Rattus norvegicus: one gene and its partners. The protein of the gene in region 2 interacts with the protein of the main gene of each other region in a pairwise test. Links are inferred from orthologs where the notes say so. Each region holds a gene or a part of one and is shown on either strand. Other genes may lie near its edges. The genes, in order: Ap1b1, Ap1g1, Ubl7 and Ap1s2.

The links.
Region 1: the proteins of Ap1g1 (region 2) and Ap1b1 interact in a two-hybrid assay, tested with the Homo sapiens proteins (2 studies listed by BioGRID, with this or other methods). The link is inferred for Rattus norvegicus from reciprocal best matches to the Homo sapiens genes AP1G1 and AP1B1.
Region 3: the proteins of Ap1g1 (region 2) and Ubl7 interact in binary tests that used the Homo sapiens proteins (3 or more experiments, as listed by UniProt). The two-hybrid records come from large-scale screens. The link is inferred for Rattus norvegicus from reciprocal best matches to the Homo sapiens genes AP1G1 and UBL7.
Region 4: the proteins of Ap1g1 (region 2) and Ap1s2 interact in binary tests that used the Homo sapiens proteins (3 or more experiments, as listed by UniProt). The link is inferred for Rattus norvegicus from reciprocal best matches to the Homo sapiens genes AP1G1 and AP1S2.

Annotation. Positions count from the first base shown.
Region 1 is NC_086032.1:84,115,580-84,122,759, reverse strand, and holds part of Ap1b1 (AP-1 complex subunit beta-1), read right to left. Parts: intron 6,649-7,180; coding exon 6,543-6,648; intron 4,159-6,542; coding exon 4,023-4,158; intron 3,176-4,022; coding exon 2,930-3,175; intron 1,387-2,929; coding exon 1,196-1,386; intron 355-1,195; coding exon 133-354; intron 1-132. UniProt on the Homo sapiens protein: Subunit of clathrin-associated adaptor protein complex 1 that plays a role in protein sorting in the late-Golgi/trans-Golgi network (TGN) and/or endosomes.
Region 2 is NC_086037.1:54,651,264-54,659,041, reverse strand, and holds the start of Ap1g1 (AP-1 complex subunit gamma-1), read right to left. Parts: upstream 4,942-7,778; 5' UTR 4,619-4,941; exon of another isoform or gene 4,513-4,618; intron 4,383-4,512; exon of another isoform or gene 4,252-4,382; intron 4,024-4,251; exon of another isoform or gene 3,887-4,023; intron 1,216-3,886; exon of another isoform or gene 1,107-1,215; intron 1-1,106. UniProt on the Homo sapiens protein: Subunit of clathrin-associated adaptor protein complex 1 that plays a role in protein sorting in the late-Golgi/trans-Golgi network (TGN) and/or endosomes.
Region 3 is NC_086026.1:67,213,493-67,221,253, forward strand, and holds the start of Ubl7 (ubiquitin-like protein 7), read left to right. Parts: upstream 1-3,675; 5' UTR 3,676-3,721; exon of another isoform or gene 3,722-3,829; intron 3,830-5,118; 5' UTR 5,119-5,147; coding exon 5,148-5,331; intron 5,332-6,734; coding exon 6,735-6,854; intron 6,855-7,761.
Region 4 is NC_086039.1:34,226,638-34,234,415, forward strand, and holds the start of Ap1s2 (AP-1 complex subunit sigma-2), read right to left. Parts: upstream 4,048-7,778; 5' UTR 3,926-4,047; intron 1,893-3,925; coding exon 1,714-1,892; intron 1-1,713. UniProt on the Homo sapiens protein: Subunit of clathrin-associated adaptor protein complex 1 that plays a role in protein sorting in the late-Golgi/trans-Golgi network (TGN) and/or endosomes.

The DNA of each region.
Region 1 (7,180 bases), on a different chromosome or scaffold from region 2:
TGTCCCTAAAGGGAAAGGTACTCTGGTTGAGAACCCCTTACACTCTTCAGGCTTCCTACATGGTGACAGATCAGTCTTCCCCGAGGGTCCCTGTCTCCAGCATATGGCAGACGTGTGTGGCAGTCACCTTACCTTTTCTGTACAATGAGGTTAATATTGCGCAGAGCCACATACTGCAACTCTGGCTCTGCTGACAGCAGTGTGACCAGGGGAGGGGCCAGCTTCTTGAGTAGTGTGGCATAGTAGTCCAGGTCCTTAGACAGCATCTCCATGAACTTCATCAGGACCTTCACTGCGGACAGCACCACAGCAGAGTTGGCATGGGAAAGCCTAGGAGTGACCCGCTCGCAGATGCTGCGGTCAGCAGTCACAGTAGAGCAAAGAGAAGGAGACAAGGGAAAAAGGTCCTTTTTCACTTTTCACAGCAGCATGTCTTTTTGGCTTTTGTTTTGAGACAGATGTAACCTAGATGGGCCTTAAACTTGCTATGCAGCCCATGAGCTTCTCAAGCCAAGGTTGTTTCCTACCCCCCACCCCCTTTTCTTTTCCTTCCAGTAGTAGCACTGAACCTAGGGCCTCATGTCTGAGACAAGTGTTCCGCCACTGACTTTAACACTCTGATCCTCTTGCCTTCATCTCCAAGCGCTGAGAAGACCCACCACACCACCAAGCGTGGTTCATGCAGTGTGGGCACAGCTCAGGGCTTCATGCATGCTCAGCCGTCACCCTACCCACTGAGCCACAGGAAGAAGGCCTTCTTGTCTGCTACCTACTGAGTCACAGGTCCAAGACACCATGAGCCTCAGTTTCCTCATCTGAGAGTTGATGCACTCACATATCTACTTCACAGGCTTGTAGGCATGTGAGTGAACAGAGTGAGTAAGAGGCTGGCACACGGCAGATACCTCCAACTGTCAGCTCTTTCCCTCCCTACTGCCAAAGCACTCACTCATTGGTCAAGACAGATCCAGCTGGGTAAACTACACAGTTCCTCCTCTCACTAATTCAGTCTCCTTGTCTGTGAGGTGGTCAAGGATGATAGGATACGTTTCACAGACTTGCTCTAAAGATTACCTAACACTGAAGGCACCTAGCAGAGTCAAGTACCTAAAAAAGTCAGTGGTTCTGAAGCTACAAAACTTGATTCAGTTCAGACAGATCCTTGTCAGTTCCTGGCCAGGGTTTGTCTGCTCACCTCTGGGCCTCACGGTCATCCTTGGGCATGTAGTTCGCCAGACAGTCCAGAATGAAGATCTGGCCCCACTCGGTGCACTCATTAAGGGCTGTCAGCAGCTTGTTGATAGACTGTGGGTTCAAGTCAAGCAGGTTGCTACTGGGGTGAGACTCAGCGATCTCTGACAGGGCAGCCACTGCATTTGCTACCACCTGGATGAGAGGACAGAAGGGTAGAGGCTGGAGGTACTGCTCACGTCAGGGAGCACAGGGGCTAATGACACTAGGAGATCAAGATGGCACATTCTGTAAGGACTACAGTGTGACCCTACTGGACATTCCGTAAGGACTGTGGTGTGACCCTATGGGACGTTCTGTAAGGACTGTGGTGTGACCCTATGGGATGCTCTGTAAGGACTGTGGTGTGACCCTATGGGACGTTCTGTTAAGGACTGTGGTGTGACCCTATGGGATGCTCTGTAAGGACTGTGGTGTGACCCTATGGGATGCTCTGTAAGGACTATGGTGTGACCCTATGGGACAGTCTGTAAGGACTGTGGTGTGACCCTATGGGACAGTCTGTAAGGACTGTGGTGTGACCCTATGGGATGCTCTGTAAGGACTATGGTGTGACCCTATAGGATGCTCTGTAAGGACTATGGTGTGACCCTATGGGATGTTCTGTAAGGAATATGATGTGATCCTATTGGTAGGTTCTAGAGCCTCAAGAAAGTCTGGCCTACAGCAAGCACTCACCCCACTGATCCTCTGTAAAGCAAAACTACAATCAGTACATCTGCCATTGGAAAGAGGGAAGCCCAACTCCAGGGACCTCACACTGAAACACAAGCCCGCCGCCCTCTACTGGCCAGAGTGCTCACTGCAGTGGTTGTCAGCTGTGCTGCTCAGAGACAGAAGTCCTGCAGATCTACCTCTTCAAGGCTGCTGGTAGGGGATGGGTGCAGGCTAAGGAGGGTTTACCGAATGTTTTGGCCAGGACAACTCCTTTCCTGAACAGTCTACAATGTTTACAACTTTCCTCTATGACACAGTGTTCTAGTTAGCAGCCTTTAGTTGATAAGCAATCGGTGTTTCTGTTGGATACAAAGTGGGAGCAGTGCCCAGTGTTTTAAATATTCCATTGATTTCTTACAGAGTTTTCAATTTTTAGAAAAGATCTCGTTTTGTATAGACGGCTGGCCTTTAACTTTCAATCCTCCTGACTCAGCCTTTTGACTGCTGGGATTACAGGTCCCAACAAACTTCACTGCAAACTCCTGCCATCAGAATGAGTGAGGGGACGGGGTTCCCAGCTAATGCATCCTGGTGTCCTGTTCTGCTCACTGTAGTACTGTAAGGTGACGCCATTTCAACCCTACAAGAAAGAGGACTACATGCCTGGAAATGACAGGAAGTCTTGGTTAGGAGTTACTGACATGACAGCAACTGGAAAGGGACAGACAATAGCACTGACTGTAGTCACTGCTTGCCGGAGCAGGCCAGCTGAGGTCAGGTATGTGACCTCCTGAAAATCTAACAATGAGACAAACAGGGCTCTGAAAGATTAGGCAGCTTTCCTAAATATAGCTCGTTTGAGAGGCCACTGGAAAACCAGGCCTCGTTCCCTGCCAACTACCGCAAGGAGGGAGCACAATTAGATATTCAGCGAGGGCCTAACTCCTAAGGTGGAAAGTCAGGTTGTCTTCTCAAGCAATCCAGGTCTGTGGAGGCATCACGATGACTGTTAGCAACTTACCATGGGGTTAGAGTCAGAGATGAGGTCTTTGAGTGTGTCCAGGAAACCCTGGTCCTCTACCAGCTGGGCGTTGATGTCGTGGAGCTTGGCTACACACACAGCTGCTGTCTTGCGCACATATGGGTCTTCATCCTTCAGGCATTTCCGGAGTGGTTCACACAAGTACTCTGTGATCTTGTCAACTCGGATGCAGCCCATAGTCCTCACAGCCAGGGCCCGGATAAGGGGGTTGGGGTCCTCACAGTCCTGAGGAGAACCAGTCATTGGCCAGGGGCAGGGCAGGATGAGTCATCTGTGGCTTCCTATTCTTCCTGGCCTCCAGCTCTGAGCAACATCAGGCAGCTGCTATGGGATCTCCACTGCCCACAGCCAACAATACTCAAAGCAAATGCCACAGAATGGATGCCAAGCATTTGCCACATATGGGCTCTATACCCTTTCTCTGCTGCATCCTGAGGCCATTTCCCAACCAAGGAAGGCTTTGGAGGTGGTTATGGGCTCACCCAGTCAGAGCAGACTGGCAATCCGGACCTCCATGTTCCTAGCACCATAGTCTTTTCTTTTGGAGACAGGGTCTTGGGATACTACTCAGATTGGCCTGGAACTCGCTATGTAGCCTAGCTACAACCTATTGTCATAGCAATTCTCCTTCCTTAGCCTCCCGAGTGCTGGAATTAAAGGCACACACAGCCACAGAAACCCCTAATTTTCCTGTATGTGAGCATAGTAGACTAGGAGCCAACGTCCAAGTTCATGCTTTGCTCCTCATCTGGGAACAGAAACACAGAAAGGAGTCATATGGAGGGAACGGAGCTGCTCTCGGGTGCTTCCTGAAGTCTGTGCTGGCAGCAGACACAGGAGAATGAGAGACCAGTGGGCCTGGTGCCACCTCACGGGGACTGAATGAGGCGGTCTTTTGGTCTGTGGTTCTGGAGAGAGAGGGAGCCCTCTGCTGGAGGGAGAGGGCCTCAGCCTGAATAGGCAGAAGGAAGCCTGTGTGTGAATCTGCAACTGAGCCCGGGTGCTAAGCACTCCGGACATGAGAGAGTGAGCAGTCTTCACCTGTTCCCACTTCCACCAGGTTTCTGCTCACCTTCACGAAGGTGTTGACAGCCATAATGGCCATGTCAGGCTGACTCTTGGCATAGTTCATCAAGTACAGGTACACCAGCTTCTTTAGCTCCAGGTTGTCTGTCTGCATGCAGTTCACCACATCAGGGAAGAGAGCACTGCAAGATCAAGGGAGCACCAGAAGAGGCTGAAGACTGAGAACAGTGGGCTTTTCAGACATCTAACTGCAGGGTAGGAAAGGGATGACAGGGAGAAGCAGGGGAAAGTTTCTTCATTTGTAAAGAAGGGGCAACAGAAGCTGACTTTGGCTAGGGTTGGGACTTAATGGTAGAGCACTTGCCTAGCACACACAAGGTCCAGGGTTCAATTCCCGTACTGCTCCCCACCTCCAGAAACCCACTTTTCCAGGCCTTTGTGATACTTAAAAGAGCATTCCTGGTGGGCTGGAGAGATGGCTCAGTGGTTAAGAGCATTGACTGCTCTTCCAAGAGGTCCTGAGTTCAATTCCCAGCAACTACATGGTGGCTCACAACCATCTGTAAAGAGATCCGATGCCCTCTTCTGGTGTGTCTGAAGACAGCTACAGTGTACTTATATACAATAAATAAATAAATCTTTAAAAAAAAGAGAGAGAGAGCATTCCTGAAGCTTCTGGTCTTTGCTGAATTGTCATTCTCTGTCCATTCCTTACACTCCATTGGTCCCATATAGAGCATCTCAGGGAAGCAGGGCTGAGGGAACAGTGTGGCACCCACAACGAATCAGCAAGGTATATGGACACATGCTGTGTGCCAGACTTGGTGCTAAGGAGTGGACATACGTCATCTCCTTTAACAGCCCCAGGAGGCCAGCGGTGTGTTCCCATGTCAAATAATTCTGAATTAAGAAATGTCCAACAGTGGTGGTGGTGCATGCCTTTAAAGAATCTTATTAATCTAACACTGACCAGGCAGAATGGCACATTTAATCCCAGCAGAGGCAGGTGGATCTTTAAGTTTGAGGCTAGCCTGGTCTACAGAGTTCCAGGTCAGCCAGGGCTACACAAAGAAGCTCTGTCTTCAACTCACACGACCACCTCCCAAAATGTCAGACAACATGAAGAATCAGATCTATGACCGTTGCTGTACTTGGTAGGACTCTTTCCAACAGGTCCCATAATGGTCCCAGAGTACAGGCCTTGAGATGTGAAACGCACAGATGGGTTTTCTGGAATTTGAGCCATCATCTGTCTTTATTACCAAGAACTAGGAAACAGAACATGAAGGGGGTGCCACACAGGCCAGGTTCCCTCAGAGCTGCAGAGGACAAAGTAACCTGGGAAGATGACACACCAGAAGAACAGAAGCACTGTGGAGAGAGGAAGAGGAAGTGAAGAGTCTGAATGGCTCTCCAGGAGTCATGAGCAGAGCAAGCTCTTTTAAGGAGGAAGAACAAAGCTATTTTCTGTTAGAAAGTGACAGTACTGTTCTAACTGAAGAAAACCTTTTCCTTCTAGAAAGTATGAGACTTAGAGATACCCCATCTTTCAACATATTTTAAAATTACAGTTTATTGAGTGTGGGTGTGCGTGTGTGCACACACTAGGGCACGTGGGCAACAGCACACATGTGGAGGTCAGAGAACAAGTAGTAGTGGACAGCCTTGTGGGTCCTGGGAATTGAACTCAGGTCACCAGGCTTGGTGGTAGACACCTTCACCCCCTGAGGCACCTCATATCCCAGACACCAATCCTTTTACACTCTGTTCTAACAAGGTCTGTGCTAGGGACTCTCCTAGACTGGCTGTAGGAAGGCCTTCCTAAGGTCAGCAATGGCGTGGGCAATCTGTGTGGAAGCCTGGGACAGTGGGGCATTCTGTAAGGTCCAGCTAGGGAGTATCAGAACCTCTGTGGTATGTGCAAGGGACCATGACACACACAGACGACAAAGTCTGGGTTCTGAAAGGCCCAGGTTTGATTTCTCTTTCTGCGTTAGCCGTGTGACTATTTCAGAGTAATTTTCCTCATTGCCTCATTTATTTTGGCAGAAGAAACATCATTGCTCACAATGGGCCGTGTAGAGAACCTGAGAAAATGCATCTGAAGGTTTTCTGTAGATGGGCCAATGAAAATACAGAGCAGTTGTGAAATGAACTGTATCTTCTGGAGACTTCTCAGTTTGACAGGCAGTTTGACACAACCTCATAGGACATGAAGACTGACTAGACCAGGTGCTGAGTGTCAGAACAGAGAACGACAACAAAACATACTTCCTGTTCTCAGGAAAAACAAACAGCCCAGAATGCCCAGCTGTACTGTGCCCATTTTCCTCTGGAGCCTTGGATTCTGCTGCACCCTCTGGGATGCCAGCTGCCCTCTCAACCTAGTCTGCTCCACTCAGTTCTTGTCTGAGCCATTAGCACTTCAGCCTGTCACTCGTGTGCAAACAGAATCCTGTGTTTGTAAATGAGGTTTGTCCAAAGGAGCCAAAGAGCCGACCTGCACCCAAGCTATGAGCCTCAATATTGGTCAGCACCTGGCTGTCACCTGCCTGCTCCTGCATACCTGACATCTTTGCCCACGGTCATTGATGCAATCACTTTCTTTACTGCCTCCTTCTTCTTCTCCTTCTTGTCACTGTTAAGCTCTGCCTTCAACTCGAAGATCTCCCCTGAGGAAAGGAGACAGTCGTGAGCAGTTTACCCCATGCTGTAAGATGACTTTTCACACCAATTCCCCAGAGAACTAGGTGGAGATAGAGAGCAGCTTCAGGCCCTTGGCTTCAGGTAGGACAAGAGACAGGAGTGGTGAGGAGAAATATTAAGGTGATAGGAGCCTGGAGGCCATGTTGGACTGCAGAAACGGGAACCAAGGTGTCGAAGGGCTGCTCAGCTAGACTGCTAAAAATGCACAGCAAGCTCTCCTCAGCCTTCTCATTGCCCCGATTCCCTAAAGGCTGAATGGAGTTGGGGCGCTGGGGTGGGGGTGAGGTGGGGGAGCTGGTTGATCTCACACACAGGCTTTTCCTGTTTTCCCAGAACCCTGAGCTCAAACAGCTTACTCAGGGTTTCACTTCCTCAGCCTGGAGACAGGAATTCAGCCATTCTACAAGGGCTGCAGCATGTAACAAGTTTTGTTCTTAAGAATTTGATGACGTGGAAAAAGGAAATGCAGATGTGTGGTTGTGCCCCATGTCCATGCCA
Region 2 (7,778 bases):
ATGGTTATGTGGAGTCCAGTTATGAAGCTTACCCTAGCAGGCACTGGATTTCCTATGCAGATCAGGCTGGCCTAAAATTTGCAATGATCTTCATACCTCTGCTTCCTGTATGCTACATTACAGGCAAAAACTACCATGCCCAGCTTTACGTGGTCTCTTGATTCTAAAATTGCTTGCTACTTTAAATACCCTGCCTAAGAAACTGAGGAAAACAGAGCCCAAAAGCAAAGGCCTGTAATCCAAGGTCTAAAGAGGCTGAAACAGAAAGTTCATGGGTTTAAGGCCACCTTGAGACCACACAGTAAAACCTTGTTTCAAAAACAAATAAAAGGCTGCTGTAGAAGTGTGAGCAGTTAAGAGCAATATAATTCTTTCAGAGGACAAGAGTTCAATTCCCAGAACCCACATGGCAGCTCATAACTGCTCTAACTCCAGTTCTAAGACTTCTGACGTCCTCAGACATATGTGCAGGCAAAACAATAAAAATAAAATAAAAATCAATTATTAAAAATAAATAAAAGGACCAGAGAATGTCTCAGCAGTTAAAAGCATTTGCCAAGCAAGGTGACTTGAGTCCACTCTTCAGAACCTGTGCACAAAGCGTATTTGGCTCATTTGTAATTCCAAGATGGAAGGCAGCGATAGAAGAGACTGCCCCAACATGGTAGCAGGCAAGAACCCTCAAGTTGCCCTCTGGAGACTGGAGATGCTCAGAAGTTAAGAGCACTGACTGCTCTTGCAGAAGACCCTGGCTTGATTCCCACCACTCACATGGGGACTCACAACTGTCTGTGTAACTCTAACTTATGGCCTTCATAGGCACCAAGGATACATATGATGCCCAGACATCACACATGCAAAACACCAATACAAATAAAATACAATTTTGGTTTAAATTTAAGTTGTCTTCTGACCTCCACACTCTCCACAGCATAAATATGCATGCACTCACAAATACATTCACAGAATTTATAAAATTTCAAAATATAAAGTGATAAATAAGAGATAAAAGTAATGGAGATTTTTTTAAAAGCCTAAAATCAAGGCCTGAAAACAAGTCATACAGCATTAAGATTAAAATGCAGGTCAGGTATGGTTGTACATACTTTGATCCTAGGAAGAAGGCCTAGGCAGTGAGAACTCTTGAGTTCCAGGCCAGTGTGGTCCACATACTGTGTCCAGGACAGAAAGAGGGCTACCTAGAGAAATCCTGCCTTAAAACAAAGAAAGAAAGAAATTAATAGAATTAAGATGCAAGCACCTAACATAAACAGATGGATGGACAGATGGATGGATAATAGATGGATAGACAGAGAGACAGACTGGTAGATCAGATAAGGCAGATAAGTAGATTAGATAGATAGGTAGGTAGATCGGTAGACCAGATAAGATAGATAAGTAGATTAGATAGATAGGTAGGTAGGTAGATTGGTTGATTTGTTTAGACCAACACACAGCTGGAGCTCCCTAGAGGCAAAGTCAGATCCCTGAAACTGGAGTCACAGACAACTGCAAGACGCCATGTGGGTGCTGGGAACCAAACTAAACCTTGATCCTCTGAAGAGCTGTGAGTGCTCTTAACCACTCATCTCTCCATTAAGGTTTTATTTTTACATTCTCCCCAGCTAAATCTAAGAGTTTTCAATGTTTAATCAGTTATGTCCCATTATATATACAAAATGTAAGTCTCTATCAAATGCAAAAAGGGATTAAACATTTGAAATCTGTCTTGATATGCAGATTCCAATTCAACTTTTCAAATTAAAAATAACTTTTGAAAGAACTCATTTAACCTTTTATGCCTACAAAAGGATTTTTTTTAATGATCCATTTAAACTATTTGAGTTTTTATCTGCTTTGTATACTGTTTAGTTTTTTTAGGAGGTAGGGTAGGAGGTAGAGTAGGACAGAACCTACAGCTTTAAGTATGCTAGGCTAGCACTCTACCATGAAGCTACATCCCACTACCTGACTTTTTAAAAATAAGCCTGGGTTAAATATCAGCAAGACATTAATGGAAACCTCTATATTTTACAGTTTTATCCTAAAATTCACCCTTAGATTATATAGTTGCTGTCAGCAAAACAGACTGAATCAAACATTTTCCTTTACCAAAGCAACTGAGTGGAGCTGGACACACATCCTCGGAGCCTGCAGCCTGCAGCCCCAACACTGGGAGAAGAGAAGTATACAAGTCCCGCCAACCTGAGCTACATAGGAAGACTGTCTCAGAAACCAAAGCTGGGCCAGCACTGCTGGCAGAGGCCTGTTAATCTCAGCTACTCAGGTAAGGTAGGAGGGTCGCAAATTAAGGCCAGCCTGAGCAATTTAGCAAAACCATGTTTCAAAAAAAGGGAGGGGAAAAGAGGGTAAGGAAGAAGGAAGAAAATAAATGGAAGTTTACTAAACATAAATGTTAACTTCCAGTGCAATTCTCAACAGCCAAGAGACAAAGTAGACATTCATATACGTGCTGCTCAAGGGTACAGGAAACAGCACTTTGCTAATAATTTGTTTAACAAAAGGATACTTTCTCAAGGTAAACTGTAAACCATCTAAGAATGAATGATATTTAAATCCCAGTATGTTAAACCATACCATGAACTGAGTTAAATAACTATGATAGCTTTCTCAATACTTGTTCAAAAAGTGAACTCAAAAACTGAAAATTTCAGCAATAACAAACAAGGTGACACTGCTGAGTTCTTAAAGCAAAAGAAAACTGCACAACTTCGGAGCAGCACACTCACAGAACTCGTGTCTAACAAGAATTAACCTAGTTCTGAAGGAGCTGCTAAAAACAAATAACAAGAGCACAGAATATCTACACTGAAAATACTGTCCTCTGTGTCACTGTGTGGCCTGTAAAGAACTTACCTTTAAATGTAAAGAACTTACCTTTGAAATGTAAAGACATTTCAAAAGCTTAGTAAGAATAAAGAAAGCATCACAGGGCTGGAGAGGTGGCTCAACGGTTAAAAGCATTGACTGCTTTTAGAGAAGACATGGATTCAGTTCCCAGAACTCACAGGGCAGCTCACAACTGCCTAGAATCCCATTTCCAGGGGATCCAAAAGACCTCCGCTGGAACTGAGCATGCCCGTGATGCACATACTATGTATGCCAGCAAGACACTCAAACATAAAAAAATAAATATGTCTTCCAAAAATGTTAAATACTGCATCAATATAAACTTTACAAGTATTGAGAGATTTAACTTGGTTCATGTTATAAACTTAGGTTTCCGGCCACTCATGATCTCAAAGAAGTTGTTTCTCTTTTGCAGATGAAAAACCTAGGGTGAGATAAAACGGGGGTGATTCAACCACACTCACCTAACTTGAAATGTAGGAAATAACCAGTGAATTATTGTGAAATGTTCTTTATTCAAGCATACTGGACTGCAAACAGACTTTAACAGAATTAATGAAGCTATCATTACTTCAAGGATCCACAGGTTTCAAATCGAACCTTAAGAAGTTTATAGTCTGGCAAATACTACGGGCAACGGTGGAAATGGATGCTTAAAACCTAGCTACTCTGAGAAAAGTCAACATAGGAAGTCAGCAAAGATCATTACTATACAAACACCTGAGGGGTGCGGTCACTAAGAGACCATTCAGCTCGCTCTTCTGTTAACTAATCCCTATAGGAACTAAAAAAGTTATTTTCCTTTCTACCTACGTCAGGTTATTATTCTCCAAGGGCAGCCTTCCATGCTAAGCATATATAACACCAAAAGAAAAAAGTATCAGTAAGTGCCCCAAACTCAGTTTTCAGAACAGAAAGGAAATCCAGAAAGTATTTTTGACAGCTCCTTCCCACCCAAAGCCGCTTGACCCGCTTTAAACCCATTTACTGCTGAAATACACTCTAAGTGGTTCGACGGCTCTCCAGCACTAAGCCCCCTAACTGGGAAGCATAACCGACAGTTCCAGGCAATGAGGAAGATCCTGAGAATTCCTAGAAACTGACGTCCGCAGAACCGAGAGTTGGAGAGGAGAGTGAACAGCGCGGTCGCAGGTGAGTTCTTAAAAAGGAAAAGAGAAAGAAAAAGAAAAGAAAAAAGAAAAAAAAAGGGCGAAAATGTTTGAAAGAGAAGTTAGTTGGAAGGTTAAAGGGAGGCGAGGCCGATGTCCGGCTCTGAGTGGACGGCACTGCAGGGACAGGCAGCTTTACCCCTGCGTGGGAAATGCTCAGAGTTCTCAGATCTGACCCGAGTCCCCGACACAAGAACGCTGATACGTGGCTCAGAGAGGACACGCGGGGGTGGGGCCCGCCCCGCTAAATCCTAGGCTCCCTGAACCAGCTTTCAAAGGAGGATAGCAGCTCGATAAAGTCAATGGGTTCAAGGAGGCCTGCACCGGCCAGACAACCCCAAGGTAGGGAAAGCGACGGCGCACCGGAGCTCCGGTTCTGAAGCTTCCGAGGGTCGGCCCTCAGGAAGTCCGAGCAAGCCCGGGGCTCCCCGGTCCCTCCTGACCCAACCTGGGTCCTCCTCACCCCCCACAGGCTGAGTCCGGACCCCTGGGACTGACAGGAGGTTTCCAGTCAAACGCTCGCAGCTGCAGTGGAGCCAAAGACACAACCAGCTCTCAGTGCCGCGAGTGACACTCACCGGCCCGAAACCTCGAATGAAACCAGCAGCTTCGGGGGCGGCGGCAGCAGTGGCAGCAGGAACCGAACATCCAAAATGGCGGCTCCCTCGGCCTCACCACCGCTACTGCAGGCGGAGGGATCCCAGGCGAGGAGGGAGTTTCTAACTCACTTCTCGCGCTTCTCGAGAAGACGTCGCTCCTCCGCTCCCTCTCCTCGTCCACTCCGCGTCCCTCCAACTGCAACCTGTGCTCTTTCCCACCTCGGATGACCCGAGTACTCGGACCCTGCTGAGGACTATTTGCCGAGGAGGAGGCGACTGCGCCTGGCAGAGCGACGCAAAGCGTAGCAAGGGTCGGGGCTGTCACTGATGACGCTAGACGCGGCTGCCGAGTCACCGCTGCGAGGAGTCTGAGCTAGAAAGGTCCGGCCCTACTCCAGAGTCAACGCACTTTGGTTCCGCTTGGTGGCGGGGTTGGGGAAGTGGTGCAGCCGGGAAACGGTGGGGTCACCTGAGGGGGCGGAGCTCAGCAAGGTAACTCAGGAAGTCAGAGAGGGCATGTAGCTAGTGTTTCCAAAAGAATTCTTAAGTGGTTCGTATCACCTTTGAATCCTTAGCTTTTCTGATCAAATTTAGCAGCATGCCGAGTAGTTTTGGAATCCTTGGTTTTATGGTATCTTCATAATTTTTTTTGCAAAAACAGAAGATGAAACCGAAGAATGGATCCAAGCACAGCACCACCCTTTGTGTGTCAATCTCACCAACGATTCAGTTCCCTCCCGTGAGAAAAAAAGAATCTGGACAAAAGACAGCTAAAACTCTTCCAGAATAGGCTTTCAATCTATGATTGAATGAACTAATAACCTGAAGCAAAGAAAGTCTAACTAGACAGTTCCTGGTGTGATAAATAATTACTAACTTGTGACAAAAGTCTTTTCCATGTGAACCTAGAGATCCTTGATATCTTGGCCCATTTAAAGGAAAGGTGACCTACCTAGAATAAAATCTTTCCGATAGATTGGCAACAAAGCCACCCGGGATGTGAATAAAACACAATAGTAGACTGAATACCACAGACCAGGAACTAAGCACAAATCCTGAGTTTCAGACTTGAGTGTCATAAACAGGAAGTTGCAACTTTTCCCTTAGGCATTCGTTTTTCATGCAAGGATTTCAAAATACTTTACCGACATTGAACTGGGTAAGTCTAGGCGTACAATTTTGACCTTGAATTTCTGGGGCATGCCAAGTGGCTGGAAAGAAAGGACTCCAAGGTCATGATCAAATTTATTAACTATTGGTGTCTCATTGGTCATAATGCACAACCTAGCCCTCTAAGCAATCTCTTGAGTCGAAGTAAGTAACCTAAGTTTACAAATGAAGAGATTTAAGACGAGAGAAATTACAACTGTCTCTCACAATGGATTCTGCATTAAGATGTCATCTTAAACAGAAAACGCACCACACCCCAAACATGTATTCCAATCCAGACCCACTGATTTAGACAACAGAATATTTATGAAATTCAGACCCTCCTACCCTTCTTTGGTGCATCTGCCCTGAGCAGCCCCAGGTACAGCCTAAGACTAGAACATCATAATGCTAGCACTCTAAGCCAGGAGTACTAATGAAACGTGCCAAATTCACAGTGAAATGTCCATAAAGGAAATCTTCAAGCAGAGACGCAAGGCAAAGGTAGCCACGTTTTTCACATGGAAGATTAAAATAGCTTTTAAGAGCCAAAATTAAGTGTTTACCATAGCAAACAACAAAAGAAGTTTTTTCCTCTTCTTTTCCTTCTTTTTCTTCTTCCTCTTTCTGCTTCTCCTCTTCTTCCTCTCCCTCCTCCTCCTCCTCCTTCTCCTCCTTTTCTTCTTTTTGAGACAGGGTTTCTCTGTCTATCCCTGCAGCATCAGAAACTGTAGATCAGGCTGGCCTGAAACTCAGAGATCTGCCTGCCTCTGCCTCCTAAGTGCTAGGATTAATGGCAAAGAGATGTCTTCTTAGGAAGGACTTTGAGGCAGCTGTGATGGCCACATCTATCTGTAAACTCAGTTCCTAAGAGACTGATGCAGAGAGACTGGGAACCCCCAGTAGATAGCCTTGGCTGCATAAAGACTGATGTCACAACCTGCCCTCCCTCCAAGAAAAGCTGAACACTCAAAGGAAAAGCGCAACTTAGGCCCTTTCTCTGTTGTTGTTGTTGCTGTTGTTGTTGTTGCTGCTGCTGCTGCTGCTGCTGCTATTTTCTTCACTTGTATTTTTCTTTAAATTACCACTCTTTGCCTGATGGGGTGGCATACAATGGAATCCCAGCACTTAAGTGTTAGAGGCAGGAGGATCAGAAGTACAAGATCATCCTTGGCTACATAGCAAGTTTGAGGCTAACTTCAACTACATGTGACTCTATCTCAAAAAGATTAAAACAAAACTGTAGATATCATCTAACTATCCTAATGTGACAGATATTCAAATGTTATTAAAATTAAGTTTGAGACGCTGGGGAGATGTTTCGATAGTTAAAAGCACCTGCTGTTCTTACAGAAGACCCAAGTTCAGATCCCAGGTCTCATGTCCGACCACACCAGCTACCTACAACTCCTGCAGCACAGGGTCTGACACTTCCTTCTGGCCTCCAAGGACAACATACACACATACACACTCATAAATAAACACTTTAAATCTTTTGGATGAGCTTCCTAAAATTGTACACATACATGGAAAAAGATTGAGTAACAACATTAAAATATGAAAAGTATTTGCTTCGGATAGGAGGGTTATTAAAAATGTATTTCGAATGAGTAGACATTTATCAATAAAAGTTTTCACATTTTGAAAAGGAATGTTTATTAGAAAATACTCCTCACCCAACTCTGGTAGTAGGGCTAATGGAGACTTGAGACAGACTCATGTACCTCAGGCTGGCCTCAAACTTACTGTTTAATCTTAAGATGTCGACTCCTCATCTCCCAAGTATTAAGATTGTAGGTGTTCTCTTGCACACCTGGCAAGAAAATGCAGTTTTATGTAGTGTAAAAATAGTTTTAAAAAAAAAAACAGGCTTTTATGTAGCCCAGGATAGCCCAAATTATCTGTATAGTTAAAGACAAACTTGAGCTCCCGATCCTCCTGCCTCTGCGTCTCAAATGCTGGTATTACACCGTGTCTAGTTTATGCAATA
Region 3 (7,761 bases), on a different chromosome or scaffold from region 2:
CCTATGTAACTCCAATCCCAAGAGAGCTCTTGTCTTCGTCAGCCCTTCAAGGCACCAGGCATGCATGTGGTGCGAAGACAAGCATGCAGACACAGCACCAATACACACAGCAAAAAATTAAAAAACCCACAATGTTATATAAATCACATTTATTAAAAGTCACACGGCCGTAATTACGGGAAAACAAGAAAATCCTCAGATGCCAAAGAGAAAAGAGGAACTGAAAAGCTCAGTGAAGTTGAGAGTTGATGAGAGCCTCCCTGTGAAGAACTGTGGTTCTCAACATCTTGCTTGGGAGTTTTTGGTTTGGGGCCCTGGGCCTTTCAGAGGTTGAAACTGATCATCTCAGCACCAAGTGGAAACCCTTAAAATATTTGCTAATATTTAGTAATCTGGAAGGCCAGAGTACTAAAACAATAACTATATACTACAAGAAAACAAGGAAGATTCTCTCTGCTTGACTTTGAGGAGAGGGATCTGGAAAGAGCACCTGTGTGACAAGGGTTCTTCCCTGAGATGTAAAACCTCAAGTTTGTGCTTTGCATAAGTTTGAGGTGAAACTTTCTAATACCATCTAGGGATATCCACAATTTGTCCATGGACCTTGACAAACCCAGTACTAATTCACTGGGACAGCACTAGCAACACCCACACCATTAAAAGAAATGCCACAAACAAAGTATTCATAGAAATAATTGAGAGTTATAAAAAAGAGCAGGGCTGGAGAGATGGTTCAGCGGTTAAGAGCACTGACTGTTCTTCTAAAGGTCCCGAGCTCAATTCCCAGCAACCACAAGGTGGCTCACAATCATCTGTAAACACTGATCTGATGTGTCTGAAGTGTGTGTCTTCAGGTGTGTCTGAAGAGAGTGGACAATGTACTTACATACACAAAATAAATAAAAAAAATTAAAAAGCAGAAAAATGCATCTCCTCAGAAAAAGTCACCAGGAAAATAATAATCAACAGTGAAAATTGTAAAACAAGTCAATCTGAATGAAAACAAAAGTACAAAGACACAGAGAAGTTGCTAGCCTTGAAGAGTAAGATACGTCATTGCTCTTAACCACTGCCTCATTTCTCCAGCTCCACCATTCGTGTTTGCAGCAGGAACTGTTATAGGTGAGTTTCGTTTGCTTTCTTTCTTTTTTTTTTTTTTTTTGGTCTTTTTTTCGGAGCTGGGGACCGAACCCAGGGCCTTGTGCTTCCTAGGCAAGCGCTCTACCACTGAGCTAAATCCCCAGCCCCTCGTTTGCTTTCTTGTGAGACTCCGAAATCCTCATATTTGATTAAGCTTGTTAAACATCATTTCAAAACTAATAATGTTGAACTAGGGAGATGGCTTAGTGGGTCAGGTACCCACTGGAAAGACAGAGAGGCAGTAGTGTAATTCCAGGGGATGGGGGAGCTGAAAGGGGAGACTGTACAGAAGCCCTTAGGCCATCTAGCCTGCTTTACATAGCATTGAAGAGAACCTGTTTTAAGTGAGATGGAAAGGTGAGGTTCAACACCTGGAGGCTGTCACCCGACTCTACACTTTTATCAGGACACACACCCACCTACACCCTTTGCTGTGAGCATTCATGCGCTCCCCCAGAATAATACTAATAAAAATTTAAATGTCCATTCTTGCAACTTGTTTCTCAATAGAATTATTGACTACGCCAAATAGTATCTTGAGTGTTTAATGAATGATCATCCAGCACTTTCTTAGTCTGACAAGGATATCAATGTTTCCAAATATGAACTGGCAGAAGGACCTGGTTTTGAACTCTTTCCTTCTTGCCAAACATCTGTCTTTATGTCCAGGCTTCTCCTTCCTTCTCTAGGACCTGACCTTTGCTTGGGAGCATAGTACTTACTTGCTAACTGGGTCCACACAGAACCTGTGTGGTTGATCTTAGCTTACTCCTATATTAATTTGCCCATCCGCAGCATCCTCACATTGCAATACATACAATAAGGCAGCCATATTTGATAAATAGCTTTGGCCTGGATTATTCATTCAAGACATATTTCTTGCTAACCTGCTATGTTTCAGGTAAAGATCACCTATGGAAGGCAAACAAGACCGTCAGGGTCCATTTTTCCATGAAGATTATGATGACAACAAACAAAAGAATCTCACAAGCATTCAGCACCATTTTGAGAACACAAGAAGAGATAGGATTCCTGACATCTCCAGCAAACGGTTAAGACACAGTACTAAACAAAATTTAATGAAATAAAGCGTGGAGCTTAAGTGTCAGTACTCTAGTAGACAGAAAACTGGCTAAGAGGGTGGCCACTTAGGAATTCCTGAAAGAGGGGCTATATTTAAAAGTGGATGCATGGGATAGGGAAGAGGGACTTTGGGAACTGTGAAACTGCCTACCAGCATGCATACTTTATAAGAACAGGAGGGGGTAGTCATGTATGTGTAGTTTGCTTTTTCTGTCAAGCTATCCTACTCAGTTACTCCCCGAGTTCTGTCCTATGGTGGACTGTACAAGGATATAGCTTTTACACCTGTGTACACAGAATCAGTATTCAGCTTTTGTGAACTATCCCCCTAAGATTTATATATGTATTTACACTGTCATTGTCTTCAGACACACCAGAAGAGGGCACCGGATCCCATTACAGATGGCTGTGAGTCACTTGGTTGCTGGAAATTGAATTCAAGACCTTTGGAAGAGCACTTAGTGCTCTTAACCACTGAGCCATCTCTCCAGCCGGAACTTTATTTCTTAAAATTACATTTGTGTGTGTGTGTGTGTGTGTGTGTGTGTGTGGTCAGTTTTGGGGAGTCAGTTCAATCTTTCCACCACGTGGTTCCCAGGGGAACTGAAGTCCTCAGGTGTGAATGCAAGTGCCTTTACCTGCTGCCTTTACCACCTCACCAGTCCCTCAACTTCACAGTTTTAAAGTAGGTTTCTGGTTTTGGTTATCGTTTTCCTTAGTTTTCGAATTAATGTTCTGAGATCAATCAGTACTCTCTTGAGTTTAGCTAATTCTAACTTTTGTGTAAACACAATACAATTTGATCTTGCAGAAGTTTCTCAGTTCAGTCATGTAAAACCAGCAGTGTCTCAGTTCAGTGGAAATTCTCCTCCCCAAACAGATTCTATGAATGACTGTGTTATAAACCCCATTGTTGCATGTTCACGGTGGGCCAGAAACCCGACTTAATCACTCCTCTTACGGACTCAACTTTTGGAGCCCTGGTGCGCTGCCACAAGGTAGGTTCCCTGGGAGAAGGGAGCAAGAAGTACAGGAGACTGACTACGTGGGAGAAGTGCGTCTACATCGAAAGGGCCGCGGGGCTCCTGTCCACTTAGGAACCGGTCCCCCTCGGAGAAGGTCCGCCCTCTGGCCTACGGCCCACCCAAACGCGGGACAACCAACAAGCTTCAAAAATATCCCAGAGAGCGCGGGAATCATCGGACTATTGACTGCTTACGAAAACCCCACACCGAGTTTCCCTACCTCAGCTGGTACATTTTGTCTGACAGAAAACTACAACCTACTTGCTCCTAGGATCTCAAAGTGCTCGAACACACGCCTCCTAGGAACCGGAAGCATTACCACTAGCCACTGGACGGCCATTTATAAGGGGCGGGGCCTCAGTGAAAACTATAGCCCCCAGAATGCAGCGCGGGGCTTCCGGTTTCCGGCAAGAGGACCAGAGTGAGTGTTTACACCGGCGGCTTGCTGCGGCCGGGTTCCTTCCGCGGGACGGGTGAGGGCGCTGGGCCCCCTGGGCGCGCGGGGCTCTCGTGGGTCCGGAGTAGCTAACTGGTCCCACGAGAGAGGTGGGGTTGTCAACACTGTCCCTACTCACGACTAGGTATCTGTGACCTTGGGCCAAGTGACTTCAGCTTTCTGAGTCTTGATTCCTGATCTGTAAAATAAGGATAGTGATGCCAGTTTCAGGGGACAGTTACGAGGATCGAGATCGGTATACAAAAAGTCCAACTCTTTCCTCGCTTTAAACCTGTAGATGGATAGTACCTTGAAGTTGGCTGGGTCGCATCACAGCTTTTTCTTAGTCTTGTCTCTACCGCAAGAGACCTCTTCGGAAGAAATGGTGTCTATAACAAGGACTTGCTTTGTGATGCAAGGCTCTTGCACTCTTTTGAGTTATTAGATTTATTTTTGTGGGCATTCATATATGCCAGGCTTGGAACAGTGAATTAGAAAAGCTCTAGTCGGGGCTGGGGATTTAGCTCAGTGGTAGAGCGCTTACCTAGGAAGCGCAAGGCCCTGGGTTCGGTCCCCAGCTCCGAAAAAAAAGAACCAAAAAAAAAAAAAAAAAAGAAAAGCTCTAGTCTTGGCTTTCAAGGCTTTCAAGAAAGGGGGCGGAGGCGGGGGCGGGTCACAGGTGTGAGGGAAGCAGTGAGAAATTGCGAAGTAAATACGGTTTATAAGGAAAAAGGAGCGAAGAGAAGATAGCTTTTTAAGGCTGGCATCTGGTAATGAAGCTGGCTGACTTGTCCTCAAATCTGTTGATTTGTGTTGCTCTCTTACCTTGAGGGAAGAGGGAATGTGTGACCAAGAGAGGAAATATATGGGACAACTTTGTTATAAAGTATACTTACCTGTGTTGTTATAAAGGGGCAGGGCTGGGTCTGTTGAAGAAAGCTGGTAGGAGTAAGAATAAATGGTTTTGTAATCCAGGCTGTGGAGTTAACCTGATCATAGAGGTGTTTTGGAATCAATGAAGGCGGTCTAAGCTTCTAAGTTAGATCTGTGTTTTAACAATATGGCATTGGGTGGCGCTATAGATCTCTGATAGCGGGAGGCAAGAGAGGCAAGGGCTCCTTAAAGCATTGTAATAGCTAAATCAAAAGGTGAAGAACACCAGAAATCAGTGGGTAAAAGGGATAGGGTTGGATGATCTTGTTTGACCCTCACAACATTCCTATCCAATTGGTTGGCCTTTTGTGCCCACTTTAAAGGTGAAGAAACTGAGGCATAGAGAAATTCCTTGCTGTCCACCACTAGCCTCTTAACATTACACCCGTGCTTCTGTAGCGGTATTGCACTGACATTGTCTTTCCTTTATTCTTTGTCGCAGGGAGAGATGAGTAGGATGGTGGTTTGTCTTTTAACCGTTAATGCCTTACTGTTTTACAGGGAGAAAGAGAGAGCGAGAGAGAGAGAGGATGTCTCTCTCAGACTGGCACTTGGCAGTGAAGCTGGCTGACCAGCCACTTGCTCCCAAATCTATTCTTCAGTTGCCAGAGACAGAACTGGGAGAATATTCCCTCGGGGGCTATAGCATTTCGTTTCTAAAGCAGCTTATTGCTGGCAAGCTCCAGGAATCTGTTCCAGACCCGGAGCTGATAGGTGAGTCTCTGTTGGCTACAGCTGGGTTGCTGCTCTTGCCTCTGGGAGAGGAGGTAAAAGAGTAAATTAAGGGCTTGTGGTTTGTTGCCTCACTCCAAAGTTAAGTTTTATATGAGTAGAAACACAAAACTATCATTTGCCACTTGAGTCTCATGTTACACCAAGCTACGTTATTACTGAAGGCTCTTCGCTGTGATATTGCTGAGGTCTTTCTCTGAGAGAACAAAATTAGCAAAGAGTTGCTGGTGAGACAAGACTCCTCAGCCTGTCAGGTAAGGCTCAAGGGATAATTAGAAGGATTTTTGGTTGGCCTTGATGGCTGATTAAAGGGAAGGCAGCAAAACAGGAAATGAGGTTGACAAGGTATTCCTAGTGGGGGGAGGGAGGACATAAGTACAGTACAGTCAGATTAGATTGGGAATAAATTATGAGAGCCAAAGCTTCTACCTGGTGCAGACATTTCCTGTCACAGATGGAGTAGCTGCCTCTTATTTTGTTGTTAATTTTTTTCCCATTTATTTGGACTAAGCACTCGCTGCAGTATTGAGCTCTACAGGAGTACGTGGATATATTTCTTAAATAAGCATTTGTACTTGATTAGTTTGTTTTAAACGTTGGGGTTTTGTATGATCTTGAGACAGGGTCTCACTTTGTAGCCCCATCTGGCTTGGAACTTAGGATTTAGACCAGGCTGGCCCAAACTCACCATTTATCTCTGCTTCTTGAATGCCAGCAGTCAAAATGTATTATCTTAATGTCCCCCAGCATTCATAGGCACTGACTGTTGAATCCAGGGCCTCGTATATGCTAGATAACTAGTCTGCCTCTGACTGTACCCAAAGCCTGTTTATCTGACTTTTCGATCTTTAATAAACTGCTCAGGCTGGCCTCAAATTTACTTCAGCCTCCCAAATATCTGAGATTATAGATATGTGCCACTGCACCTGGGAGAGTGTCTTCTTTTGTGTGTATGTCGTACATGTATGTGAGTGTGCAAGAGTATGCATTCATGCGTACTTCATGCACATGAAGAGACCTGAATGGGATCTCAGGTGCTCCCCTCTCTCATCTACTTTATTTCCTTGAGATGAGATCTTGCACTGAACCTGTTCTTCCAGTTTGGGTTAGACTGGATAGCCTGCAAGTTCTTGATCAGCTTGCACTCCTTCTTTAGCCACTGATATTACAGGCATGTGCAGCCATGCCTGGCTTTTTGTGTGGGAGCTGGGGACTTGAACTTAGGGCCTAATGCTTGCAGAGCAAGTGCTCTTTACCCACTGAGGTGCTTCCCTCTCTCCTGAGACCTGTCTAATTAAAATAAGATTCTCAGGAGATAGAAACCAAATTGCTTTGAGAAAGAAAATATAAATGGGCAGGGTTTCGTTTGTTTGTTTTCTTTGTAGATTTGATCTACTGTGGCCGGAAGCTTAAAGATGACCAGACTCTTGACTTCTATGGTATTCAGCCTGGATCCACAGTTCATGTTCTCCGAAAATCTTGGCCTGAGCCTGATCAGAAACCTGGTAAGGGAGGGTTTGTCCTCAGTGGGTTGGGCAGAACTTCCTAATCCCTCCAAGGGAAGAGCTTGTGTATTCCTGAGATACAGTCCTGGATGATTTATCAAGATGGAGATAGGCAGGATCTTTTCCTCATCGGATTAGATCCCCACTGATAAGATGTGACATTGTTACTGTCAGCACCACTAATGATAGATGGGTTTGTTTGTTTGTTTGTTTTTTAACTTATAAGTTCATTAACCATTGTTTTCTAACAGTGTAGTGTGTGTGGACCTCTTTAAACTCTTTAGAGTAACAGTTGAGTTTTCTGTAAACTTTACATCCTTTTATTATTGTTGCTGTGCTCATTAGACAAAAGCAAAACTTACTTTGTTTTTGTAATGCTACAGTTTGTTTTTGATTAAGCAGATCTTCCCACAAACTCCCCCAGGTAGTTGTTTGTTCCGTAAGCTGAGTAGTCAGGCCTCCTGAGCTCATAGCTGATTTCCACCAGCATTCAGGGAGCTCCTGAAGAAACCTAAAGCCTTTTAGTCTATTAATGCACATTGCTGCTTGGAATTTACAATTTAGATCTTGTCTTTGTGCTCTAAAAGTGTCTCCGAGTATAAAGCTAAGCTATGTAAAGGAAGTCAGCTTTGTTAAACTAGCAGTTTGGCATATTTTTTATTTTGCTTGTGTCTGTTGTGAGTAGTTATTAATTTGAAAGTTATCTTTTCAATTCTAAATGGAACAAAAACCTCTTTTGTATCCATTGGGAAATGAGAGAGAGAAGCAGCCTGGCATCCTAGGATTGGTGTGATGCTCTCAGCCAGACTTTGGAGCCCTCTGCTATAGGGGTCACCATGATCAGACAAGGAGATTCTGAGACTATCATGAGTCAAGTGGAAGATAAGATCCTTGGCATTTCTGAACA
Region 4 (7,778 bases), on a different chromosome or scaffold from region 2:
ATAACCTTATGGCTAACTTCCACACTCAAGTTCCACGTCTATGCCCACCACATCCCATCAGAGGGCCAAGGGAACAATAAAGGCCACATCAACTTGCCTGCACATTAACTGAATTTCCTAGCTTACCTTACTTCCCATAAGCCAAACTCTAAAAATGAAGGTGATTCCACTCCCTCTTTCCTACGTAACAGGTCTCCTTTCTGGCTCTCAGCTCAGGAACCAATTCGGATGCAGTCCCCTACTGATCCTGCAGGGGCCAGTCTCAGCCCACTCCTCAGCCACTTTTACCTCAGTCTTTGCAGAAAGTGCAAACCTGATCTCTATCTTTCCATATCTACAAGCCCATCACTAGTATATGACCTTGGGCCAACTCACCACTCACAAATTCTCATCTTTTATAAATTGAAATTTGAACAATAAACTGTTTTTCAAATCCAGGACCTGTCTTTTGTGCAGAGAGCAGAGACCAACTGATCCAGGGTGCAGGATTCTTATTTCTGATTCTAGAAAAGCAATTCTTTTCTACGTGTTTTATTCACGATTCTATCCTTGGGCAAAAAGGTTGTGTGTGTGTGTGTGTGTGTGTGTGTGTGTGTGTGTGTGTGTGTTCTTAAGGCATCTTCCAGTTTGCAAATGCTATTATCTTTCTCAACAAACACTAAGCCAAACGTTGGATACAAAATCACCCAAACCGATATGAATTTATCTATGAAAGGAAGAGAAATCTAATGTACTTAAGAGTGTCTCTATGTCCTATTAATCTCCATGACTTCCCCTGCCACCTCCTCCACAAAACCCATCCATATTTGAAATGTAGTGATAGAAAACTAGACTTCTCTTTACCTTCATTGAATTCCATACTGTTAGTTCTCTGAGCACTCCCCATACAAGAGAATGTTTTATATGAAGAAATGCTTTTATCTTAAATTCAGTAAATTATTCAAAGGGGATCAGAAATAAGGGAAGAAATAAGGAAATGTTCCTTCAAAAACATTATATAAAAGAAATTATATTTCTTTTAAACTGCTTAGAAAATGTTTGTTTACCAACAAAATAAAGATGTGTAGCATTAAAGAAAAGAACTGTGCAAAAAGCTATTTTTTAATAAGTTATTTTGCAACATCATTTAAAAATATCCATCCGTGGTAAAATTATCATATCTAAGCATAACTCCTTCACAGCAACAAGTCTATTTCAAATTAATAAATGCTATTAGGAAAGAGATACTGTATATATACAAAGTATTTAAATATCTGTATAATGAGATAGTCTATGTGTCCAGGGTATTTATGAATAAGATTGATTCTAAATATCAGAAAAGAAATACCAAATATCGGTTATTATTTTATAAATTTGTTGTAAGAAAGAGTTATTACACTGTTATCTATGCATATCTGAATTTATTAAAGTACTTAAAAATTTAAAATACTGACCCTATTTACTCCTATAATAAATCTATTAAATTATTCTAAAATGGTGATTAAGCATGAATAATTGTCTCTCTTGTTTATATAATTAGTTAAAAAATGATTCCCCTAAGGCAAGCAATCAAAATAGCAGTTACTTATTTTTAAATGGAAAGTTTTCCTTCAAATTTATTTCATTTAAATATTAATCTTTGTTTATTGACCTAAAAGTCTGCAATTTCCTCATTAGAAATAACCCTAATGCTTGACAGTACTTCACCTTTCTGATAAATAAAAAAAGGATTACCTTTTATAAACAATCTTCAGATCTCTCCACTCAAGGAAGCTGCACATCTTGGGTTTCCGTGCTAAAACGGTTTGCACAAGTTCTCTGGTGATTTTCTTCTTCTCTTTGTCTGACAGTGGGACATACCATTTCTGCAGTCGAAGCTTTCCCTGACGACTAAAAAGCAACATAAACTGCATCTGTTAAAATAAATAAAATCAAGATTACATACAATTACCTCGGAGCAACAGTTAAGAGCACATGATTTTCAGAGCCGCTTTGGGGGGCACAGTAAACGCCCTGACAAATGATCAATAAGCCATCAACATTTCTATGGAGGTTATAATAGCATGGAATTCTTTTGGAAAGATCTTCTTACTATATGTATGTAGGTAAGTGTAGAAGAGAGTGTGTAAAAAGCAGAACAGGTGGTAAGCTGGAGTGAATTTTTTGAAGAACAAAAACTCTGATAATTTCAGGAAACAATTTTCTACCTGTTCCACACTCCACCACTCTACATGCATCAAAGGAAAATGCAGACATCAGGTAGCTGATTTAGGTACATTTCTAGGAAAGAGGAGACCTACTATTTTCACCCTGAGGCTATTCTAGTTCCAGGCGGAATTTCAAGCACTCCCTTCAATTTATGCTAGCATATTTTAAACAAAACAGAATATTAGTCAAATATTTCACAGTACATTTTAAAGACAAAAGTCTGATTTTTTATGTTTTCATTTCTCTTTTATAAAATACAACATAAATAAGCACTCAAAAACTGAGTTAATGTCTGTAAAAGAGAATAGAAGTTTAAAAAGCTTTACCCAAAAGTTACCCATATTGAAACACAGGATATTTAATTTAAAACAACATTTTGAGACATCACACAGTATACATCTTTTAAAACAAACAAACAAACAGAAACCACATTCGAATGTATGCTGGATTCAAGTATATTTTATATTGAAGCTAATTTGTATGGATTTACTTAGCATTTGCATGTCTGTTGGTCAGTCTGTTTTCTAAGGCATGTATTTTATAATTCAACTGGTAAAAATGGGCTGTATTGTAAAGCTAATTTGAAGGTAAAATTCGGATAAGTGTTCTGTTTTAACCTTTTTAAGTTCCTTTAACAGTGACAGTGCAAGTAAGATCCTCTCAAGGACAATTCTTAATATTCACCACACTACCTTAAACATGAACACACGGAGGAGGAATTTACGTAACTAATATAAAATCAAATTGGCTCTAAATTTCGACAGGAAAACCACCTCACAATATAACAAAAAGGCACCAAGAAAACATCCGGATATTTATGGCGTAGCCATTTAACTTTAATAAAGTTAAAATTGGCTATTACTCCACACAACACTCTATATAATTCATTGAGAGCAAAGTGCTACCCGTGTAAGTCCTTAAGACAGCGGCATCGAAGAGAACGGCAAGTAAAGCATCAACTGGACATTGAACGCCGACCGTTAACAGAACTTGGGAAAGGAACCGATCGGTTTTCTTAAATCTCGACCAGGAGAGACGGTTTGCTAATGACAGGGGTGTGCTCTAGGCTATCTGTAACGGGGTCTAGTATCCGCCCTAACACTTTGTAGAACGAAGAAACCAAGCATTTTCCTCAAAACAAATGATGTGCTAACATGGGACGAAACCCGTGGCACAAGTATTCCTTTTCCCTCGCTTTGATTTTGCCTCAAATCCTGGGACAACAATTTCTCCAGATTGGTATTAAAACAAAAACAAAACAAAAAACAACAATGAGCTCAGCCTTGGAGTGGGCTCTGGTCCAGCATCCCTGGGGTCCCGCAGTCTTGGACGCCTCCCCTCCTCCCGGGACCACACTCCATCAGTGCCCAAAGCTGGGCGATGTGACCGGCAAGGAGTGGAGAGAGACAATGGCATCCGCTGGCCCGCCAGGGGCGCCAAGTCCTCGGTCGCCACCACCCCGGCCCCTCCCCAAAACACCCCGTCAAACTTGAGGCGATCAGCGAACCACAGGTGCCGCGGGGTCCCCGTGGAACCCAGGACCGTCCCCCGTATCACCGGCGCGCCGCAGAGTGGAGAGCGGGGCGCTACCGCCGCCAGAAGTGAGTTTTGGGGCGCGGCGCCCCAAGAGGACTCGGGGTGGGGTCGTCGGGGCGCTCACGGGGCAACGGGGGGCGCGCCCCGGCCATCTCTCCCTCTTTCCATCCCTGCCACCTCAGCGGACTTCTTCAACACTTACGGCGGCTGCGGGCCGCGGACGCGGCGGAGCTTGGCTGGCTGCGGAGACTGAGGCGCCGGCAGCTGCTGAGGGGAAGCCCCCGTCGCCAGGCTGTTGAAGGGAAGCCGTGGTGCCGCGGGGAGGGGACCCGTCTGGTGGAGGGCAGGCTTAGGCGGCGAGGGTAGGGCGAGCCAACAGATCCCGCCCTGGAGGCTGGACGAAGGAGGAGCCCAGGCTGCGGTGAGCTGAGAGGCGGACCAGAGGACGCGCGCCAAGCTGCCGAGGGGGCGCCAACCGCCTCTAGAGTCAGCACAGTTGCCGGCAAGAACGAGAAGCCGATTGGTCAAATGGCCACAGGGAAGGCGTGGCGAGGGCCGGAAGTCTGGCCACGTGACCCGGAAGCGGCTTTGGCTGTGGCCGGCACGCCTGCGTACTTATGGCCGTGCCGCGGGGACGCAGCGCACCCGGCTGTCCTGGCTTCCTCAGTGGCAGGGTGATGGGGTTCCGCGGCGCCCTTAGCTGACCCCGTGGTGCAGGCTAAGGATGGTCCGCACTACAAAGAGCTGACTTCGAGCTCCGATGACTCTCTGGGTCCCCAGAGGGTTGGACGGGGAGATGTGACAGTGGGTGATGATGGTGGGAGCAAGGACAGGAGTGCTGCAACTCTGGGGAAAATAAGTCAGCGCTTTCGTGGTGCTCGCGCCCGCGTTTGCAAGGAGGCCCCTCCTCTCCAACGCAGTGCTACAGCCCTAGCTAACCTAGACACTTCTGGCCCCAAGCTTTGCAAGAGCCTTTCTGCAGGGCTTGCTTCGCCCAGCAGTGCGGCGGACTGGATGAGTTGTGGTCCGCTCTCTGCTGCAAAAATCCAGACAGCGCTTAGTCCTCCAGATCCCGCTTCCTTCTCACGGTCTCGCCCCCACCTTCCCCAACCCGGGTTCCAGTTTAGCTTTGCTGACGACTCGCTCTGCTTGCCATGCCCTTCCTCTAATGTCACATCTATGAAGCCTCACTCTAAAGCCCTGGAACAACGAATTCCTCTTTTACCCACATGCTTCTGTTTAGTGCACCTTGGATTTTATTCGTTTAACAATCTAGCTCCCTGCCTGGTTTTAACACCACTGATAAATGTGAGTTGCCTAATAAAATTATAAAATAATGATAGATTTATTAAAAGCTGAAATGTTGACTTAGTTCTGGGCATATGATGGATTTCTATGTTTTATTTGAATGCTGGAATGGATGGATCATCTAGTTCAACTTATCATTTATAGATAAGGGGAGTGGAGATCCACGGGATTAGGTGACCTTGCTTGGGCAGCGATGGATTTCCCATGTCAAATGCTACTCATTACTACAGTCACCTCCGTCCCTACAAAAAAAAAAAAAAAAAAAAAAAGCCAGAACTGAGTATTTGTTGGGTATGCCTTTCTTTGCAGAGATTGCTAAACAGGAATTGTAAATTAACCAATGTAAGGGAAAAGATGCTACATTTTTAGCGAAGTTGTGTTTATTCAATTTAAAGAAACCCCTTATTAGAGATCAATGTTGATTTTTATGTCTTACAGTACCAATGTAATAGGATCATATATGATAGGAATTTGAGGTCATTTTGTAAATGCTTTTGTTTAGCAAAAATAAAACTAGAATATTTCCCCTTTTCCAGCAATACTATGCTGCTTGGAAAGTTTCATATTAGCACGTGTGAGTGAAATATACTAAAGTGAGCAACAAAAAGCAGAATTGGCTTTTGGTGGGTCTTTAGGCCCCCCCGGCCCAAATTTCTGTTTCCTGTTCAAACATGCCCCTGAAATGCTAATGTCCTTTCTCTTCCTTCATACAAGGAACCGATGTTTTTTAGCCAATTCACAGATAGCACTAATACTACATAATGAAAAACTGCCTTCTAATTCTAAACACTGCCTTTTCTTTTTGTGTGCAAAACACCTGTCTTCCAAGGTTCCTAAGTAGTCACCTCCCAAGTTTAAATTGATTGGATATGTTACTAACGTTGGTTAGTAGTAGCTCGGGAAATGATGGGAGACTTGCTAATTGGCAGTTTCATTCTGTGTTCCTAGCCAGAGAGAGAGGAGAGAGAGAGGAGAGAGGAGTGAGGAGAGAGAGAGAAGGAAGGGCTGGGGTAGAGAAGGAATTATGGGAAAATAATTAGCAGCTGAAAGCAGCTATTACATAATCTTGGCTGCTTATTAATTTAGCAGAAGGAATGGCTTATTAAATTCTAATAGCAACAGCAAAACTGCAAACAACCTACAATTAACAGAGCAGGGCCCATTATTTTGTTAATACGTTCTCTTCCTTTGGCAAGTATATGAGTACAAAATTTATAGAAGCAGATGGTCTTTTTCAGTAGATTATAGATGGTTTATTCCCCAGTCTTAGTATGAAGTGCTAATGGTGCATTCACTGTGAAAGACAAAAGGAAGCACGGCTACCATCTTTGTTAGTAATTAGCTAGTTTGACTTTGATTTCCACATTTCTCAAATTGTAGGGTTTGTTTTAAATAAATAAATATATATACACATATATATGTGTATATATATATATTGCCTCTGACCTACTACCTTTTTCATCTGTCATGTCAATATATAATCTTATCATTCCTTTGTCTTTGTTTTCAGGGTGATATTGCCTTCTTTATGTTAACGTGGAAAATTATACGATAATCATGTGTGAAAAATTAATAACCAGAATTTGTATTGTTGGTTAAATTTCAAAAAGTGTTTTGCCGTCATGTCTGCTAAATACAAGATGTGAGGGTAAAATAGAGATGCTATTTTTTAGTAATAAAATTAAGATACTATAATATCTAAGGTTTTAATAAATAATTATAGTATCCTATTAAATTTCTGATACCCATCCATTTTTATGTCTGTTCCATCTCAAATTATGACTAAACAAAAAGGGAAAAACAGTGCAGTGTTTAAAACATGTCCACATGGGGCTGGAGAGGTGGCTAATTGGTTAAGAACATTGGCTGCTAATGCAGAAGACTCGAGTTCAGTTCCCAGCACCCACACATGACAGCTCCTAATTGTAATGTTAGTTCCCAGGGGTCTGACACCCTCTTCTGACCTCTCTAAAAGCCAGGCACACAAGAGATGTGCAGATAGGCATGTAGGCAAATCACCAATGTACATACAATTATTTATAAATTATCTAAAACATGGCCACATGGATGATGTGAAGAGGCATTAATATAATGAGGTCATTAAGGATGTCAGGGTGCACTATCAACATATTGCAATACTTAGGATTTAAATAAAGAGTTAACAAATTGAAAATATGGGCGATTCAAGTAGAAGTTAGAGCAATACTGCAGTAAATAACATCTGAAATAACCCTGGAAATTGAATTATTAGCTTGTTTCTTCAATTCTAGGAAGCACACTCCAAAAACAATGGTGAATTTCCATGGATAGAATCCCGAAGTAGGATATAACAAGAGAGATTAGTATATTTTATTTCAATTTTTACATTACAAGAAGTATTGTCATAGAGTAACTAAAAACCATTTAGTTAGAGGTGTGTTCTATAGTACTGACTTGTACAGAGCTCCTTCGGCCAGCCTTTGGAATACTTAGAAATTACCCAATAATGGTATTCACTATTAAATCCGTTTTCAAATTCTGTGCAAAAAATGATGTTTAGAGTTTATAAATTTGCATATCCCATGATAAAGTTGTCCCGCAGGAAAAACAGTAGACCTAAAAGGATGAGGATTCGTGAACTGGATCCTTTCAAAATAGTTCTGTCACTGAGAGTCTTCAACAGTAAGCCAGAGAAAAATGTAGAACATATGCTCTTTCAATAAAAATTATTATTAGGTTATTCTCCTCCTGGATAAGGATTTCCTTGG